Sus scrofa: one gene and its partners. The main gene of each other region encodes a partner of the protein of the gene in region 5 in a complex. Links are inferred from orthologs where the notes say so. Each region holds a gene or a part of one and is shown on either strand. Other genes may lie near its edges.

Region 1 (4,081 bases), about 68 Mb from region 5:
AGTTAAGCCACTTTAACTAGTGTTATAGCCAATCCAAATAAATTAAGCTCCCAGGTGATTATTTTTGACCTAAATTGACTTGCTTAGATGACTCACTGGTCAAAAAAAAGACCAAATAAGTTTAGTTTCCTAAGCCTCACGATATAGACTGAGGGAGCATGAAAGTTGAAGGAGAAATTCAGGGAGCCTATACTGGTATGTGTGGCAGTGGCCAGGGCTCTGCTAGGCTTAGTGGCTTGCCATTCAAAATACCAGAAAGCTTGATGGAAGCTATTGCCCACATGTGGCTGCAGCAGGAAGGCTTAGCTAAGCGGGGGTGGGGGGGGGGTGACAGCCTATCTCGTATCAAGAGGACTGGTAAATTAATGGGTAGACAGAAATAGCCTGGATTCCATTATCTCTTTTGATAACTAGAGTCAAAACATAATTGTGTGTGTGTGCACACGTACAAGTGTCCACGACAGAAGTGAAAAATGACATGGTATGTTGATCCAAGCTATAGTTAAAATAAGTGATTTGTTTTCATTTTCTTTGTGTTCTTTAAAGTATGAAGTGCCTTAGTGAGGGTGTATCAGCCTATGTTCACACATGTGCTTTAGAGAGGGCTGAAAGAGGATAAAAGTGACCCATGGTTTAGAAAGCCAAGACTGAGCACTTTTTCTAGTGTTGGTGATGGAGCTGTTGAGGTCCCGTCCAGGCTTTCATCTGGTCTTGTGATCTCTGGCCAGATTTGCGAGGGTAACTGGCCCGGTGAAGAGGATCTTTCAGCGGTCAGGAAAACACAGATTCCCTGAGCATCAGAGCAGCATGTTGATCTCTCCTTTCAATGCCTTGTCAGAAACCAAAAAATAGTGTTGAGGAAAGTAGCCATTGCCTATTCTGACCTCAATGCTGACCCCTTGGAGCCTTGGAGCTGTACAACTCAAACGCCCTAGAGGAAACAGCCCAGGCGGAGAGCAAACATAGCTAAGCTGTCTAAATGAAGTGCTTTCTCCGTCTCCTATAAAATCAGTTTTAGATTAAAAAGGAAAAGCAAAATAAAAGTTATGCACATGAAAGAAAGTTGTGCAATTAAAAGGTATCAGTGTTTTCAATCAAATGTGCTCTTTCCACCCCTTCCTTCCTATGTTTTATTATTTGTGTATTCTCAATACACACAGAGACAGTTATGATTACAATATGAAATTTGTCCTGGGCGCTGAAAGCCATTTGATTTCCTGGCAGATGCAAAAAAAAAAAAACCCTGAAGCTGGGGATTTAAAAAACAATTCTCCCGCTCATAGTAGTAGATTAAAATTTTCTGTTTCATTTTCTTGCAAAGTGAGTGGTCTCCTGACTGTAATGCTTGTTTTGTTTGCAGAATACGTCTCTTTTACCCATAGACATATATGCAATAGCTAAAATAGCAAACAATCACTTAGAACACAGTTTGCATCCTAAAGTCATTTATTTGTGGTTTGTGGGGGTTTTTTTTTAAAAAAAAGCTTTATTAAGATATAATTTATATACCATAAAGTTTACCCATTTAGAGCTTACAATTCATTGGTTTTTAGTATACTTAAAGAGCTGTGCGTGTGGCTCATCCTGCAGCACTGTTACAGAAAGCCTCTGCTATAATTTCTCCTAGGTGACTAAGCCCTAATATAATTATCTCTTTCATTTATTTAGACATTTTATAGGGCAGTAGTTAAGAGCATGAACTCTAGAACCAGCTAGCCTGGATTAAATCCCAGCTCTGCTGTGGGTCTCAAAAGAGTTACTGTTAATCCCTCTGAGCCTTTATTTTCTCATCTATAAAATGGGAACAATCATAGAACCTCTTTACTGGGAGGATTAAAAGGGTTAAAATATATGGTTGGCATCCTCAGAGTCAACCAACCATGGGTCATCTGACTGTACAAGGAGCTTAGAAGAGTGCCTGGCACATGGTAAGCATATATTGCTATCACTAGTATATTTTCTCTTTGAACTTAAGTACGTAGAATTGAATTAATCACAATCCTTAGTTCATGACACACAATCATCAGTGGTTCATCTATGGGCCTTTAAACTTTTCACTTAGTCAAGAACATAATGAATACCCATGAACCTATCATTCAATCCAACAAGTAGAAAGTTACCAATAATCTGCATCTACCTAAATGTTCCTCCCTTATCCACTGCCTACCCTCATAGATAGCAACTATCCTGAACCTGGTATTTAGCAATCCCTTGTTTTGTTTTAAAAACTTAAAAAAATTTTTAAGGAACTTTAAGGAATCCATATATGTGTATGCGTGCAAATGTGTGTTCACGCACATGCACATACATGCGCCTTAAATGTATGTTATTTTAGTTTTGCTCGTTTTGTAACTTCATACTAACTTGTAATCTGAGATTTGCATTTTTCACTCATTATGTTACTATGACTCTTTTTTATTATCAGAAGACTTTCAAGAAATGGATCATTTCCTTCTCTTTTGATGTTCTGAGATTGTTATGCTGCCATATGATCTAATACGGCTTTTCAAGTTCCAGCCATAAAATAACCATTCCAGTCACCCAGCGGGTGAAGATGGAACAACATGTCCTCCTCCTTTTAAGACACTTCCCAGAAGTGACTCACTAAAACTCCGCTTCTATCTCATTCACCAAAACATAGACCTGCAACCACACTTAGCAAGGAATGCTGGGGGGTATAATTCTGTATCTTACTTTAGCCCAACTAAAAATCAGGAGTCTTAAAAAGAAAAAAATTTATTGAAACTTCGTTCATTTACAATGTTGTGCCAATTTCTGCTGTACAGCAAAGTGACCCAGCTCTACATTCTTTTTCTTACATTATCTTCCATCATGGTCTCTTCCAGGAGATAGTTCCCTGTGCTATACAGTAGGACCTTATTTTTTAGCCATTCTAAATGTAATAGTTTGCATCCACTAATCCCAAACTCCCAGTCTATCTCACTCCCTCCCCCTTCCCCTTGGCAACCACAAGTCTGTTTTCTGCCTCTGTGAGTCTGTTTCTGTTCTGTAGATAGGTTCATTTGTGCCATATTTTAGATTCTACATGTAAGTGATATCATATGGTATTTGTTTTTCAGGGGTCTTATTTCTAAGGAAAAGAGGGAGAACAGGTCTTGGGGTCACCAACAGTCTCTTCCACAACTACCTACAGGGTGAATTTCAAGACACAATGTATATAAAGCTGATGGTACATACTTAGCAAGAGTCAATTAAAACAGTCATTTTATGATTTCCCTTACATTATCCAATTTAATCCTCATAGTAATCATATGCGTTAGGGCAAATATGATTATCTTAATTGCAGACTTGGAAACTGAGATTTAGAGAGGCTAATTACAGCTGTGCCAGTGGTGGTAATTTTTGTTTGTTTTGTTTTAAAGAAAGAGGCAGTAGAGTCAAAGGGAAAGGAGCAGGAGCCCAAATCTAGAGTCCTAGCTTCTCTTGACAAAATCTGCCTCCCATAAAATCCTAGAATTCTATGTTCTGTGACTTTCTGGATCTGGCACATAAATCCGCAGGGTGTGGGACAGAACCTGAGGCCAGTAACTACCACTGTGGGTCGCTTTCCACCATATCCCGTGTGAACCTGGTTGTTGGAAACGACATGCTCTTCAGCAGCAGCCTCTCCTTCCCACAGGTTGAAATCTGAACAAATAAATGAGATTACATAACTCACAACTAGATAATAAAAATAAAAGCCAGCCTTTACTGAGTAATGACATACCAGGTGCTCTGCTAAAACTTTCCTCCCATTGGCTTGCTTTAGCCTCGCAACAACCTGTGGAGATGGATAGGCTTATAATTCTCTCTTTTTTTTTTTATCAGTTAAGGAAACTGAGGTTTAGAGAGCCAATATAATTTACAGATATTTAAGAAGAATAATATATGTCCTATAGAATTATTTGTTTTTTTTCCCAGTCTGTGAAAAGCATTTGTTTTGAAGTCATCCTTACATATTATGGGTGACTCCCCAGTGTTCATTCTCCCCTTCTTTGCAGTACTTTGACAGGAAAATATTTTATAACAAATGATATAGACAATTCCTTAGGTAACTAATGTAGTGGGAAAATACATAGTA
Region 2 (3,945 bases), on a different chromosome or scaffold from region 5:
TACTACCACCCACCCACTTCCCTAACGAAAACACTCCATAAAATTCATCGTGGTAAAATAGGAAACTTTTTGGAGTTTAGGTAGTGGCTAGGCAGATTAAGGAGCCCACACTATCTTTCTGAGAATGAGGGTTGGCTCCCTGGCTTCCCTCAGTGGTTTAAGGATCTGGCATTGCCTCAAGCTGCAACACAGATGCATCTTGGATCCTCTGTTGCTCGCAGCTGTGGTGTAAGCCATCAGCTGCACGTGCGGCTGTAAAAACAAAAATTAAATTAAAAAATAAAAATAAAATAGGAAACTTCTCAAAGGCTAATAAGTTGTGAAGAAGAGCCCCGGCAGAGGAAGTAGTTGTTCCCTGCCTGAAGGGGAAAGTAAGCGTAAAAAAAAAAATCTTAATAATAATAAACACTTCCATAGCAGTATGTGTTTGGCTGTGTTTATTCTTTCAATCTTTGCAACTCTGTGAGGTAGGCACTCCTCAAGCCCATTTTAGAAATAAGAAAAATAGAGGCTCAAAGAAATTGATTGACTAGCCAATCACTCAGCTAGTGCAGGGTTCAAACCCCGCAATTTGACTCGAATTCGTGCTTTCAGCAAGACAATGCTATCCAGTAATTTTTATTTTATTTATTTTTGTCTTTTTAGGGCCAAACCCGGGGCATATGGAGGTTCCCAGGTTAGGGGTGGAGTCAGAGCTACAGCTGCCGGCCTAAGCCATCCTAGCCGAGACTGCAACCTACACCACAGCTCAACGCATCGCAAGTCCCTTAACCCACTGAGCAGAGCCAGGGATGGAACCTGCGTCTTCATGGATGCTAGTGAGATTCCTTTCTGCTGAGCCACGATGGGAACTTCTACCCGGCAATTTTTAAAACGTTAGGACTAGCAACTGAGGAATTTACGGCAAAAGGAATCAACGAAGCGGCCCACAACTCCTAACACACCAAGGGAGCCTTAAGTCTCATAAAGGAAAGCTCAAATGAGAGGCCCGGAGACCAGCCCACTCCATTTTTGACAGCTGCGTCCACCAAACCGCAAAGCTTTCCGAAACCTCTCCTGGGCTGGTGTTGCAGGACCCTCATTGGTTCCCTTGTAGGTGCCGTCAAATCGCAGGCATCCAGGAAGAGGCGGGACTTCCGGTCTGGAGGAGCAAATTCGGACCGCACCGGAAATACCTATTGAGGAAAAGAATATTGGGTACCCGCCGCTGGAAGCTGCTGGAGAATCTTGTGTTCCACACATTCGGAAGAAAGATTGGTGGGGGAATTTATCTCCTCATTGCCAAATTTTCGACGTAGTGGAAAACAAGAGTTGGGCCATGGACAGCCGCTTGCAGGAGATCCGGGAACGGCAGAAGTTACGGCGACAGCTTCTCGCGCAGCAGGTCCGCGGCCCTGGGAGGGGTCGCGAATGCGCGTGCGCGGCCGCTCTCTTGCCTCCACCCGTAACCCCCGTTTTCTGTCTCCTTACCTTCCGGGGTGCAGTCCCTTTTGCTCCCATGACCTTAATCCCTGGGCCTGCCTCTTGTTCTCAACTCACGTGGTGCCCCGAATCTTTTCCATGCGAGGTCATTGTGGTGGTGCTAAACCGAACGCCACGTTTGAGTGGTCTTCAGCAAACTTGATGGCCCGCGCAGTGTCTGGCACAGTGCTCAGTGATGGGGATACAAAGCTTTGGTTTTTGTGTGCAAGTTACCGCAGTTCAAGCAATGAAAAGTGACTTGTTTTCCCCTAAATTTCTCTTCACTACTTAAACAGTTGTTTGCCTTTCTTCATAGTCAGCGCTTAATTCTTAAGATTGTGGCTTCCTTGTGAAATAGATTTACAGTATCTTCTCTGGGATGATGTCTGAAGATTGCATTGGAAGTAGCCTGGGTGTAAATCTTAGATTCTGTATCTTGTGTGTTGCAGTCGATTGTGCTGTGTACGGTAACCTCGTCAACACCTACAGCTAATGTTTGAATTCTTACTCTGTATCAGTCACCACAAACGTCTGAAATAGGTAGTATTATCATCACTTAACAGATAATGAAACAGAAGCTTCAGAGGTTAAGTCATTTTTGACCCGGGTCTTTCACCGCTAGGACAGAAAATTGAACTCAGGTTTGTCTCTCCAAAGCTTATCTTCATACTCCCTGTGTATAAGTTAGCATTTACTTAAAGTATAGACTGCTACTTAAGTCTGAGGCTGTGTTTTCCATTCTATCATTCAGATCAGTGAAAGTGATGGGGGAAATGCTCATAGGCTTTAATAGGGCATCTTATTTTTTTTCAGTAATAAATCTTGTTTTTAGTAAGTGGAAATCTGAGACCTTTTCTTTTATGATGTCTTAAAAAGATTTATGGTACAGTGTTTAAAAAGTGGGTATTTGGAATCAGATCTGTCCCTGTCCTTTTGGTGTTGTGATTTTGGACATATCAGGTATCTTTTCCAGGCCTTTCTTTTCCCAGTTTTTTTTTTTTTTATCATGTTATCTTCAAAAATGATCAGTAGTTCTATTACCCCCACTGTTTAGTTTTGAATTCAAACCTCTATTTGATTCAAAATACATTTATAAACAGTTATTTGAGTGTCTCACTATATGCGAGAAGCTCTCGTAGACATTGGGAATTCAACTATGAATAATAAGTAGTCTTACCCTTGAAGAGCTTACATGGTGTGCAGAATTTAATAATGGCAGCCATTTATTAAATCCCTTGTATTGTTAAGACTCTGCCAAGTTTTTACTTATATTTGATCGTACAAGTCAGGTGCTGTCTGCACCTTATAGATGAAGAAAATAAAGCTCAAAGAATTTAGTTACATGCTGCAGTCCACAATGCTTTTAAGTTTGCAGGATGCAGTTTTAGGCCTTTGCATGCCCTTTGCAATACACCTAGTTGCCTCCTGGTGTAGTTGGACAGGAACCATTCCACTTAGGTAAGGATGTTCAATGTAGTCAATGACAGACTTCCACTTTTACCAATTTCAGCCTCTTTTTCACTTACTTTTCTCTGTATGAATAAGACAGACTGGTTTATTACTCTCCAGAATGTGATTTGTGCAATATATACTTGATTTTTAGTAATTGTCCTTCCTTTCTGATTTCTTTCTATCCACTGTGGCACACTCCAGGTCCAAACTTGATGAAATCTATCCTGATCTCCCTGTTTTAGGCTCTTTTCTCGCTCAGCTTCCATTGTCCTTACTGTTGAGTCCACTACTGTGTGTAACTAACCATCATACACAATACAGTTTGTGTGCATTTAATTCCTGTTGTGTTCATCTTCCACCCTAACTTTGTTTCTTGTCCAAAGTAAGCTTTTAATAAATTTTTGTTGATTAATAACTGTTAGAGTACAACTCAATGTGTATAATTTCCCTGATTTGCTTTTGGCTGCTGGATGAAGATATTGGATGCAGTGTATAGGCCCAGACCATGACTGTGGCAAATGATGTGCAATTTACATGTGCTTTTTACTGAACTTGTAGCTTTGTTTCAGAAAATTGCACTTGCTTTCAGATGATACCAAATTGTTGTAATTACTCAAATAATTTATTTAGGGTTACCACAATGGAAAGTCTGTTATTTAAGTTATTCTATTACAGTTTTTAAAAAAAAATTTGGAGTTTGAGAAGACAATTATATATGTGAGCGGAATTTGATTTAAAGCATTCGTCTTGGAGTTCCCATTGTGGCTCAGTGGTTATCGAGTCTGACCAAGAACCATGAGGTTGTGGGTTTGATCCCTGCCCTTGCTCAGTGGGTTAAGGATCCGGCGTTGCCGTGAGCTCTGGTGTAGGTTGCAGACGTGGCTTGGATCCCGCGTTGCTGTAGCTCTGGCGTAGGCTGGCAGCTACAGCTCCAATTAGACCCCTAGCCTGGGAACCTCCATGTACCGAGGGAGCGGCCCTAGAAAAGGCAAAAAGGCAAAAAAAAAAAAAAGCATTCGTCTTGTAAAACAT
Region 3 (4,249 bases), on a different chromosome or scaffold from region 5:
TTCTGAGTTTGTCTGGGGGTTTTATTGAGAATCAGAACATGTAGAACAATTTCCTTTTGAATATGCCAAGTGAAAACATAAAGCCTTAACAAAAGCCCTTGGATATTACAGAGAATGAGAATTAAGGATACAACTGGTCATTTAAAGTGAAATTCACTTTACAAGGCATTAACACTTTTACATATGTTTTTTAAAGATTTTTGTTTATAATTTTATCTTGAAATAAAGAAACCAAAAATATTTTTACAAAATTTAGGTCACATTTACAACTAAGTGCAAATTCTAAGAAAAGCCAAAGAATGAATCAAGTGTTAATTAGGAGTTTTGGGGAGTAATTTTTTTTGACAAAATTCTATTAGCCCGCCACAGAATAACCTTCATCTTATGATTGACTTATTCAGCATCATCACAAAACCAGTCATTTTTGCATAACATGCATCAATTTCCCCAGGTGGCTTCATCAATTTCCCATGGTGCTTCTTAATCCTTTGCTTTAGGATCATCCTTTTGAGATGCCTATCCTGTTATAATGTTTTCAATTAACTAACTAACTGCTATTTCCTCACTTGCCCAAGATTTTGTGATTCAAGGAATTATCAAATTCACATACAAATTTCATGAAAACCTGAATCTTTTGTAAGGTTTGTAATCACAATCAATGTACAGCATCTGATACTATTTCCTGATATGAAACACCAAGGACACTGCCTTATAACAAAATTAAGTAAAAGAAAAGAAGCTGGTGTTAAGTGGCAGAAATATCTGAGCAGGAACTTTCTAAGTAGTCAGCTCATTAGTGAATATGTTCATGTTAAGATGACTTTTATTTTCTTGGGCAAACTTTTAATTTAGAGAACTGGGGTAATAAATACTCAGATACACACCTACCCATATTATATTTTCCTAACATAACATCCTCTGAACTGTGGAAGGTGCCTGACTGCCCATTTCAGTCTAAGCTCAAATGAGAAAAATCTTGCTATTGTGGCATGTCTGCTACTCCAAGACCAAGATCCCAGAGTTTTGATTCTATAAAATTTTCAAACACTAGAGTTCCATAGAGTCTGGTTCTAGGTCCTCTTCTCTTCTGTATTCCTGTTCCTGAAGTGATCTTATCCATCCCCATGCCTTAAAATAACAGCTATGCGGTACTAAATCCCCAACTTTCTCTCACCTCTACTTAACATCTTGTATGTCTCAATACACATCTGGTACTCTGTTTTCCAGTAATGGGCACTACCTAACTATTCAAAACAGAAACCAAGGCATGTCTCCTTTCTCTTACATACCTCCAAAGAAATCCACCAGTGCATGTTTTAGTTCTACCACTAAAAGATTTACTGCATCTGCCCACTCTTCTTTTCACTAAACCAAGCCTCCCTTTTGGTGTACTGCACTCACCCCCTAAGTTTTCTATTTTCTTTTCTTGCCTCCTTCTCTTACACCATTCTCCAGAGAACCTATTATGTTTTTACAAAGAGATTGTTACCCCTCTATTTCTGTTCAGTGGCTTCATACTGCACTTAAAATTCAAGTGTTTACCATGGACTTCAAAGTCTTTCACCATCTCACTCCTGCCTTCCTTTCCAATCTCGTCTTGGCGTTCCTTCCCTCTTGCTAACTAAGGTGCAGCTGATTGTTCTTTCCTACATTTTCCCACCTCAGAGTCTTACTTTCGGTAAATTCTTTCCACCTGATTTATTCCATGAGGGATTCTTCTCGTCCATCAGATTTCAGCTTACAAATGTTACTTTTCCAAAAAGATCTTTCCTGACTCTCCCTGGAGCTTCCTCCTAGTAGTCTTTACCATGGCACCCATTTATTTTCTTTAAAGCAATCATAATCTGTAAATATTTAAGTTTTGGGTTTTTTTTTTTAAAACTTATTATGTCTTTCCCAACAGTACCTAACCTCAAAAAGAACATAGACTCAGTGTATCTTGTTTACCATTCCATCTTCAGGCCTTGAAGAGTGTGTGTAAGATACACGTACAAAATTAAGTAGGTAGCTGATGACAGAGGACATCCCGACTAATAGTTAATACTGGAAAAAGCCTTCTCTAAGCCTAGATATAACCATACGGAGCAGTGTCTAACTCCAAAGGTACTCATTCAATATCCAAAAAACACAAGGAAGCAAAAGCCAAAAGACACACAACAAAGAGTGGAGCCATTCTTACTTGGAGAAAAGGATGAGAGTATCTTGATTTTAAGCTCAAGATTGATGGTTAAGGACCACAGCCGAAGAGCGGGGCACGCTTTTGGCTTAAGCAGAAAAGCTGCTCCCGGTATGATTCCGAAAACCATATCCGACTCCCTTCTCCCACCTCTAGTCCATGAAAGACCAAGCGGTGACCACCGCAGCACCCGCCCAAAGCTGACTGAGACAGCAGGAAGTCTCCAATCCACTCTCGCGCAACGACTCCCAGTTCAATGAGGCTTCCCCGACTCCGAGATTGGAATCTACCCGCCAGTCCCCATAACGTAGGGCACGGCACCCAGAATGAGGAAAAAAAGAGCCGGCGCTCTCTCCTCCCCGCGTGGCCTGCGCCGCCCGCTGTCCCAGCTCGGAGCTTAGCAGAAACAGAAAAGGAACGGCTGTTGCCGGCACTGAGGCTGTAGGTACCACACCGGAGGGTAGGCCGGGAAGTAGCAGGCCCTGGCCGGACACGGAAAAGGGTCTGTGAGATTTCTTTTTCCCCGCGACACCTCAGTGCTGTGGGGCGAGCGTAACCCCTCTATGCCGGCTGGGCGACCAGTCCCAGGCCGGCCAAGGGGGCATGGAACCGGGACCCCCACTGCCTCCGCCTCCTTACCAGTGTGATCCATGATTCGGCTCGCGGGGCACAGTGGGAGCGGAAGTCAACGGCGCCGGAGTCGCAGGGAGCGCGTGCGCGCTACCTTCCGGAGCCCGAGAGGCGGAAGTGCGACCAGCTCGCCCAGGCTGGGGCCCTTAAAGACGTCTTCCTCTCTCCTTGGCTAGCCGACTCCGGTGAGAGAGTCAGGCATAGTTCAGGCAGAGCGAGAGAGAAAGAGCGAGTACGCGAAAGGCTACACTGTCGAGACTGCTAAAGCTTCCTCTCATGTGCTTCAAGAGGGAGTAGCCTTTAACTGTGGAATGGAGACCGACCGGAACCTAGGAGGAGGGGAGCAGCAGTAGCCACAGAACTAAGCTCGCGGCAGGTAAAGCGGCCGCCCGCTCCGCAGAGCTTTGCCTTCTGGGATATGTAGTGCGCCGCGACACTGGAGCCGGCCGGGCCCACTGCGCAGGCTCGGCCGTTAGGCTGGCCCCACCCCGGCGGGCGGAGTAACGGTTTGGAATCCCCCTGAGTCCGCGAGCGGAGGTCTCCTCCCCCACGGCCAGGAAAACTGTAAACACGAGCTCTGCGCAAGGCGTTCTCCAGTGGGAGGATGCCCGGGGGAAGGTGGAGCTGTGTGAGGCTCTCAGCAAAGCAAGAAAGGCTCTATGCTTACTGTCTACATTTTGCTTTGTCGTGAAGAACTGCAGAGATCCACGCAGAGCTGACTTGAGTATCAGCCCTGATTCCCACCCATTTCTAACGCTTGATGAGCATTCATTTTCTAGGCAGAACGCTTGTGGGGCTAGGATCCCTCCGAACATCCCGCCTAAGGACTGGATGCAGGGCCAGCTGGAGGGCAGGTGCCATGCAGCCGCTTCTTGTTAGAGGAAAGCGGGGACTCAAGTGCATGGTGGAGCTGAGGGTGAGGAGAGCATGTTAGGGCTGGCCGTAGGGGAGAGGTGAAAGAGGAAAGGCTTAAATGAGGAAGAGATAGCAGCATGGGCAGTACCTAGTTCCAGTTCTTGGTCCCGGGGGTTCGTGGTTGCTGCCGCTTTCATCGTCCTCAGCTGAAACAAAAGGCAGGTGCCCAAGAGGGATTCCTGAGGGCCTTCAGTTGGGTCTCCACTTCCAGGCCCTGGCGCATCTGTGTTCACTCCCTTCTCCACCCTTTCACACTTGACGGTCTTGGATGAGTAGAAAGGAGTGCAATTAGTGGAAAACACAAGCTGGGAGTCCAGGGATTTGGGTTCTATTCTTGTTGTCTCTGGGTGACGACAGCATTACCTCGTGTTATTCAGGCTTTCAATGCCAGAGTTCCTAGATCAGAGATTATCGTATTGATCTTTTAGAGAAGTACTTTTGATCTCATGGAGACAGCAGTGAGTGATGGCTTGGAGCAAAATCTTTAATTCTCCGCTCAGGAATTGAACCTGGGCAGCCTGGATGAAA
Region 4 (3,513 bases), on a different chromosome or scaffold from region 5:
GTCCAGTCAGAGCTGTAGCTGCCAGCCTATGCCAGAGCCACAGCAATGCCAGTTCTGAGCCTCATCTGTGACCTACACCACAGCTCATGGCAACGCCAGATCCTCAACCCACTGAGCAAGGCCAGGGATCGAACCCACAACCTCATGGTTCCTAGATTTATTTCCACTGCGCCATGATGGGAACTCCACTCTGCCCATTTTTTAATGGGACTGTCTGTTTTTTGTCTTTAAATATTTGGATATGAACCCCTTAATGGATATAAGATTTGCAGATCTCTTCTCCCATTTATTATGTTGCCTTTTTATTTTGTTGATAGTTTCCTTCACTTTGCAGGAGATTTTAGTTTGATGTAGTTGCATTTCTTTATTTTTGCTTTGGTTGCCATTGCATTTGGAGTTGGTTTCCAAAAAATATCACCAAGAGTAATGTCAAAGAGCTAATAACACTTAAGTTTTCTTCTAGGAGATTTAAGGATTCAATTCTTGCAATCAAGTCTTTAGTCCATTTTGAGTTAATTTTTGTGTGTAGTGTAAGATAATTATTATTTTGTAAATGGCTGTCCCATTTTCCCAACAGCTTTTATAGAAGAGACTGTGCTTTTCCCATTTGTATATTCCTGGCCCTCTTGTCATAAATTGAGCATATATGCATGGGTTTATTTCTGGCCTGTCTGTTCTGTTTCATTCATATATATATGTTTTTGTGTATTATACTGCTTTGAAAATAGCATTGTAATATAGTTAGAAGTCAGAGAGTGTGGTGCCTCTAGCTTTGTTTTTCTTTCTCAAGATTGCCTTGCTGTGCTGAGTCTCCTGTGGTTCCATGCACATTTTAGGATTGTTTATTCTTTTTCTGTGAAAAGTGCCATTAGAATTTTGATAGGGCTTGCATTGAATCTGTAAATTCCTTTGGGTAGTATGGATGTTTATAATATTAAGTGTTCCAGTTCCTGAACTTGGATATCTTTCCATTCATTTGTGTTGTCTTCAGTTCGTTTCATCAGTGTCTTGTAGTTTGCAGAGTATATAGCTCTTTTACCTCCTGGGTTGAAATTTATTTCTAGATTTTTTTTTTTCTTTAATGTTGATTTTAAATGGGGCTCTTAATTTCTATTTCTAGTAGTCTATATTTCTTTCTCTATAGACAACAAGAATGGTATTTCTTAGTGTAATGAAAATCTGTTCTTTAATTTTTTTATAGATCCATTAGATGTGATCGATGTGGATTGGTCTGGCCTTATGCCAAAGCATCCAAAAGAGCCACGAGAGCCTGGGGCTGCACTGTTAAAATTCACACCCGGAGCGGTAATGCTGAGAGTTGGGATTTCTAAAAAGTTGGCTGGTTCTGAACTCTTCACTAAAGTCAAAGAAACGTGTCAGAGACTTTTAGAAAAACCCAAAGGTAATTCCCTCCCACTTAGACTGTATAATGTCTAATATAGTTACTAAGATGCCTGTGAAAAGGATTCTCTTTTGTTCTCATGTAGCAGTTACGATATAGGAACTTTTTTTTTTAAGGAATCACTTATTTTCATCATTTAATCCTCATAGTCAATGTTTATTTCGATTTGAGAAAAATTTAAGCCTATAGAAAAGTTGTTAAAAATAGCATGATGATCTTTCTGTATCAAAATTACTTTTTAACAGGTAGGTTCTAATGTCAGAGTGCTTAATGGTTTACCCAGGGCTAAATGAAGCAGGCCTGGGAAAAGTGAACTAGCTAGTTTTCGTATGTAAGCAAACTGATTATTTTGGCAGCCTTTTGCCCTGGGAAGTGGGGAAGTCTACTCAAATGCAGATGTTTAGGTTGAGCCTTTAACAAAGTGGTTAAGAGCTTCCTCTCAGGCCAGATGGCCTGGATTCCACATCTGCGCAGCACTTAATTTATTTAAACGCTCTTTGTGTTCTTGTCATCTACACACTGGAGATAATTATACCACCAAGGTCATAGGATTGTTAGGAGGAGCTAATGAATATTACAAGTAAAACGCTTTGAACAGTTTCTGACATACAGTGATGCTCAGTAAATATTAGCTGCTGCTGTTGTGCTTGAAAACATTCTTATCAAGGTTGATTGTAGACCTTCCTGTTACAGTTTTTCATTATTCTAGAACACTACTTTTTTTTTTTTTTTTTTTTTTTCTGTTTCTCTTACCTAGTACCTACCTTATTACATTTAGGTAGCTTTTTTTTTTTTTTTTTTTTTTTTTTTGTCTTTTTGCTATTTCTTGGGCCGCTCCCGCGGCATATGGAGGTTCCCAGGCTAGGGGTCGAATCGGAGCTGTAGCCACTAGCCTACACCAGAGCCACAGCAACGCTGGATCCGAACCGCGTCTGCAACCTACACCACAGCTCACGGCAACGCCGGATCGTTAACCGACCTAGCAAAGGCAGGGACCAAACCCGCAACCTCATGGTTCCTAGTCGGATTCGTTAACCACTGCGCCATGATGGGAACTCCAGGTAGCTTATTAATACTTTATTAAGGGAGAGGAGGAGTATAACAAGAAGGAAAGGGGGTAAAAGGTGAAAGCAGTAAGATTCCTTAATATTAAATCATGTTCATGAGAGTAAAAAGTTTAAAAGAATTGGGCTTTTCTACTAATATAAAATTTCCACAAATTTTGTTATATGTATTTCATGAATCCATGTTCTTTCTTCAACTGTTAACAAAATCAGTAAGACTCTTGATTTTAACTTGGCCCAATAAATATAGACTGTGTATAAGAAATGTAAATTATAATAGTGTGTGTTAACCTGAAAAATGACCAGTATTTTGAGTTCTTATCCCATTCTTTCTCCCTTGTTCAACTGGTTCTGTGCTCTTAAGCAAGTAACTCCCTGTGGGCATAAAATGATGTAGTGAAACCCCTGAAGTCTTAGCCGTCTCTAAAGCTATTTCCTTCTGTGTCTTTTCTATTGGCATTTCCAGTTAAAATCTATTGCATAGCAAAATCAGGCTAAAGTGATTATTAGTCAGGGACAAGCTAAATCTAAACAATGAAAATATACACTGTAGCGATTTGATTGTTTGTTACCAAGTAGTCTTATTTTTTGGTGCTCTGATAGCTTTGTTAGTAAACTAATATGATAGTCAATGTAAGTTCCCTAAGGAATAGGACTTGTTGTTTATTGCATTATTTAATGTCTAGTGACCTGTTCTTACTGATTATGTACAGTACCTGACACAGAGTAGTAGTCAGTAAATACTTGTGAAATAACTGATAGTGATTTTTTTCCCTGTTTGGTCTGTTTCTGTGCCCCAGTACAAAAAGAATATCCCCACTCCTTATGTAATTTTTAAATTCTAAGACTTAAAACAGAAAACTTGCCTTTGTCCTGTAATTGAAATTGCTTTTGTCTAGGTTTTCTGATGGTGGTATGAATAGGTTCTTTGGAGCTAAACTTTCCCAGTTATTTTAGTTCCATTGGTTTGTTACTACTCATGTATGCATTTAATCTGTCTCTTGTGTAATTTGGTGCTGGTCCGTTCAAAACCAGGAAGAGACTTCT
Region 5 (3,513 bases):
CAAGGCCAGGGATTGAACCCGAGGCTAGGGATCGAACCTGCGTCCTCATGGATATTAGATTCATTTCCTCTGAGCCATGACAGGAACTCCGACATAATCCTTTTATAACAGATATATTGACTATAGGCTTGTGGAATTATGGTTTTTTCAGATTCATTTCGAAGAATTCTGGAGATACACCACTGTTTATATATAGAAACTCTGAGTTCTTTGTCAGGCCGCAGAGGCCTCCCAGATTAATAGCACTTCTTTGAGGAAGAATGCTACCACCCAAGCCTACCCCACCCCCAAAATAAAAGCAGCTGAATTCCTAAGATTTTGAAAAAACTGCCAGTAATGTTGCTTTTTTTTTAAGATTAGGGAAAGATGAGGCAGGCCTATAATTTATTTGTTATGAGAGTCAAATTTATAGGAAATAAATTTCTGTAATCAAATGTTATATTAATATTTACATTTAAAGTATAATGATACATTAATAGTTATATTTAAGATTTGTTTTTCATTTTGTTTTATGACTGCAGGTAAAGGTTGACTTAATTGAGCTCTCTGAAAAGTGTTGTAGTGATTTTGACTTGCACTCAGAATTAGAGCGCTCATTTTTGTCAGAACCATCATCTCCAGGAAGAACCAAGACTACTAAAGGATTCAAACTTGGGAAACACAAGCACGAGACCTTTATAACTTCAAGGTAGATTTTACTTTACTGAAAATCTTGATTAGGGTCAAGTAAGCTTATTTGTTTTAATATATTTTAAGATAGACACATGACTATTAAAGGAAAAAGAAAGTTGACATAATAATTAAGTCGTGAATATTGTTTTGAAGTTTTTTTTAAAGGTAACTTGTCCTGGACATATCTTGTAAATTTGTTAACATTGTTTTAGTTTCTAAGAGTTTAGAAGCTTTGAAAAAGAGCGAACTGGGTTGTTTTTAAAAATTGTTTTCATATCAGTAAAATGTGAATACCATTCCTTTTTTTTTTTTTTTGTCTTTTTAGGGCTGCACCTGCGGATATGGAAGTTCTCAGGGTAGGGGGCCAATTGGAGCTACAGCTGCTGGCCTACGCCAGAGCCACAGCCACGCCAGATCCAATCCAAGTCTGTGACCTACACCACAGCTCACGACAACACCGGATCCTTAACCCACTGAGTGAAGCCACGGATCCAACCTGCAACCTCATGGTTCCTAGTTGGATTCATTCCCACTGAGCCACAACAGGAACTCCATGAACACCATTCTTAACTAGTTTTATTTTGTTTCCCTGGAAAGTAATAGAGAGAAGTACAAAGTTAGCAAAATTGTGATAAGAAATAATTGAAATGTAGCTTACAATGTTGCAAAGAATGACATATTTTCACTGGCAATGTGTAAAAGAAAAAGTTTTCATGGAGTATTTTTGTTTTTAATAGTGGAAAATCTGAATACATTGAACCTGCCAAACGAGCTCATGTTGTGCCACCACCAAGAGGAAGGGGCCGAGGAGGATTTGGACAGGGTATACGACCTCATGACATTTTTCGTCAAAGAAAACAGAACACAAGCAGACCACCATCCATGCATGTGGATGACTTTGTTGCAGCTGAAAGTAAAGAAGTAGTCCCTCAAGATGGGATACCCCCTCCAAAACGGCCACTCAAAGTATCACAGAAGATTTCTTCTCGTGGTGGATTTTCAGGCAATCGGGGAGGACGGGGTGCTTTTCACAGTCAGAATAGATTTTTTACACCACCTGCTTCAAAAGGTAACTACTGTGTATGTTTTCTAATGCGTTATTCTGATACTGGAATATTAAAATACTGAATAGAAGTGATTTAAATGGAAGCAATCAAATAAAGTATTTTTCTGTTATTATAGTTAAGCTACCTTTAGACCAGTGGTAGGTAGTACTATTTACAGAGTACTTTATTGGATAGAAAAAAACAATTTCTAGTTTAACTTTTGATTAATTGCATATTTAATGATGAGCTTAAAAGAAGTCTTACCTAATTATTTTCCTTTTTGCACTGAGAGTTGTGTTTTTCCTTTCTGAATAATACCCATACATTATTATAACAGTTGTACTTATCAGCAGTTTCCTGAAGATAGTTCTGTGTAGTTCACTATTGACTCTCTTATCTACTTGCTTCCTAATGTTATGTTTAATATTTTAAATTACTTCAAGATTTTAGAAACTGAGTTTCTAACATATAAACTTATAAAAATTACACTTTGTCAGTGGATTGATGACATATTTTCATGATTATGAGGATGAAAGAGAATAGGCATTTACATTAATAGTAAACATATAGTTGTGTTAGGAATTTTTTTTTTTGGCTGCACCCACGGCAGGGGGAGGTTCCTGGGCCAGGGATTGAACATGTGTCACAGTCGGGACCTGCACCACAGCTGCAGCAACGCTGGATCCTTAACCTGCTGTGCCACACAGGAACTTCCAAGAAACTATTTTAAGCATTACGTATAATACTCTCATTAACTCCATGAGGTAAGTTCTTTTAGTGTTACCATGTAATAGAAAACTTGTCGGTCAGCTGACCAGGATGTGTAAATATAGGTGGCAGAACCAGTATTTGAACCCTGGCAGTCTGCTCCAGAGTCTTCTAACTACATGTAATGCTGCCACTCCACCTGTATCCCATTTACAAAATTTCATGATTTCACTTCCATTACTTTTGAAGATTAAGTAAAACCTGTCATAACTTCCTTAATCCAGTTGAAGTTATGAAAAAAGTAGATTTTGATTGCGTTGCCCGTGTTTAGGAAACTACAGTCGTCGGGAGGGAACGCGAGGCTCCAGTTGGAGTGCTCAGAATACTCCTCGAGGAACTTACAATGAAAGTCGTGGCGGCCAGAGCAATTTTAACAGGGGTCCTCTTCCACCATTACGACCACTTAGTTCTACAGGTACATGTTTTTCCTGCTTGATACTGTTCAGAAAGAGGGAGGTGAATCCTCCTTTTCAGATTGTTGAATGTCATGTATTCTCTTTCTGGGAGAGAATAGTTCAGAATGTAGATATATAATTCTAGTCCATTTTATATTTATGAATGAGTATATATCTTCTGTATAAATATTCAAAATTTTAGATTCTAAACTGTATGTATAATCTGAGTGGTTTCATGTTTATGTGCTCTGTTTTTATAGTTCAATAAAGAAAGAAAATCATTTAAGATACCTTCTTGACCAAAGTAAACTGAGATATCTTCATAGAATATATATACAGGTTGACTCTTGAGCAATATGAATTCGAACAGCAAGGATTATCCACTTATATGTGGATTTTATTTATTTATTTATTCATTTATTTATTTATTTATTTTTGTCCTTTTAGGGCCATACCTACAGCATATGAAGGTTCCCAGGCTAGGGGTCAAGTTGGAGTAATAGCCACAAGTTGGAGCAATAGCCACAGCAACTCAGGATCTGAGCCTCAGCTGCGACCTACACCATAGCTCATGGCGATTCTGGGATCCTTTAACCCACTGAGCAAGGCCAGGGATCAAAACCTCATCCTCA

Evidence for each region.
Region 1: KIAA1429 (region 5) and RBM15 share a complex: the UniProt entries of both Homo sapiens proteins name them as parts of the WMM complex. The link is inferred for Sus scrofa from reciprocal best matches to the Homo sapiens genes VIRMA and RBM15.
Region 2: KIAA1429 (region 5) and METTL14 share a complex: the UniProt entries of both Homo sapiens proteins name them as parts of the WMM complex. The link is inferred for Sus scrofa from reciprocal best matches to the Homo sapiens genes VIRMA and METTL14.
Region 3: KIAA1429 (region 5) and CBLL1 share a complex: the UniProt entries of both Homo sapiens proteins name them as parts of the WMM complex. The link is inferred for Sus scrofa from reciprocal best matches to the Homo sapiens genes VIRMA and CBLL1.
Region 4: the proteins of KIAA1429 (region 5) and ZC3H13 are in contact, whole or in part, in a cryo-EM structure (PDB 7VF2), measured with the Homo sapiens proteins. The link is inferred for Sus scrofa from reciprocal best matches to the Homo sapiens genes VIRMA and ZC3H13. Residues at the interface, in NP_056311.2 of Homo sapiens: Leu521, Ser529, Tyr531, Gln532, Leu535, Glu536, Ile538, Leu539, Leu540, Asp541, Val544, Val547, Thr548, Ser551, Leu554, Gln555, His558, Glu561, Val562, Ser564, Glu565, Lys567, Gly570, Asp571, Ala574, Glu575, Thr577, Ser578, Glu621, Glu625; in NP_001317494.1 of Homo sapiens: Pro1492, Leu1493, Asp1494, Val1495, Ile1496, Asp1497, Val1498, Asp1499, Trp1500, Ser1501, Gly1502, His1507, Leu1518, Lys1520, Phe1521, Pro1523, Val1526, Met1527, Arg1529, Val1530, Gly1531, Ile1532, Ser1533, Lys1535, Leu1536, Ala1537, Gly1538, Leu1541, Lys1544, Val1545.

The regions. Positions count from the first base shown.
Region 1 is NC_010446.5:109,788,755-109,792,835, forward strand, and holds the start of RBM15 (putative RNA-binding protein 15), read right to left. Parts: upstream 2,802-4,081; 5' UTR 1-2,801. UniProt on the Homo sapiens protein: RNA-binding protein that acts as a key regulator of N6-methyladenosine (m6A) methylation of RNAs, thereby regulating different processes, such as hematopoietic cell homeostasis, alternative splicing of mRNAs and X chromosome inactivation mediated by Xist RNA.
Region 2 is NC_010450.4:105,050,796-105,054,740, reverse strand, and holds the start of METTL14 (N6-adenosine-methyltransferase subunit METTL14), read left to right. Parts: upstream 1-1,137; 5' UTR 1,138-1,318; coding exon 1,319-1,384; intron 1,385-3,945. UniProt on the Homo sapiens protein: The METTL3-METTL14 heterodimer forms a N6-methyltransferase complex that methylates adenosine residues at the N(6) position of some mRNAs and regulates the circadian clock, differentiation of embryonic stem cells and cortical neurogenesis.
Region 3 is NC_010451.4:107,455,201-107,459,449, reverse strand, and holds the start of CBLL1 (E3 ubiquitin-protein ligase Hakai), read right to left. Parts: upstream 2,806-4,249; 5' UTR 2,307-2,805; coding exon 2,180-2,306; intron 1-2,179. UniProt on the Homo sapiens protein: E3 ubiquitin-protein ligase that mediates ubiquitination of several tyrosine-phosphorylated Src substrates, including CDH1, CTTN and DOK1. Targets CDH1 for endocytosis and degradation.
Region 4 is NC_010453.5:21,379,061-21,382,573, forward strand, and holds part of ZC3H13 (zinc finger CCCH domain-containing protein 13), read left to right. Parts: intron 1-1,201; coding exon 1,202-1,402; intron 1,403-3,513. UniProt on the Homo sapiens protein: Associated component of the WMM complex, a complex that mediates N6-methyladenosine (m6A) methylation of RNAs, a modification that plays a role in the efficiency of mRNA splicing and RNA processing.
Region 5 is NC_010446.5:42,231,915-42,235,427, forward strand, and holds part of KIAA1429 (protein virilizer homolog), read left to right. Parts: intron 1-521; coding exon 522-688; intron 689-1,409; coding exon 1,410-1,741; intron 1,742-2,757; coding exon 2,758-2,901; intron 2,902-3,513. UniProt on the Homo sapiens protein: Associated component of the WMM complex, a complex that mediates N6-methyladenosine (m6A) methylation of RNAs, a modification that plays a role in the efficiency of mRNA splicing and RNA processing.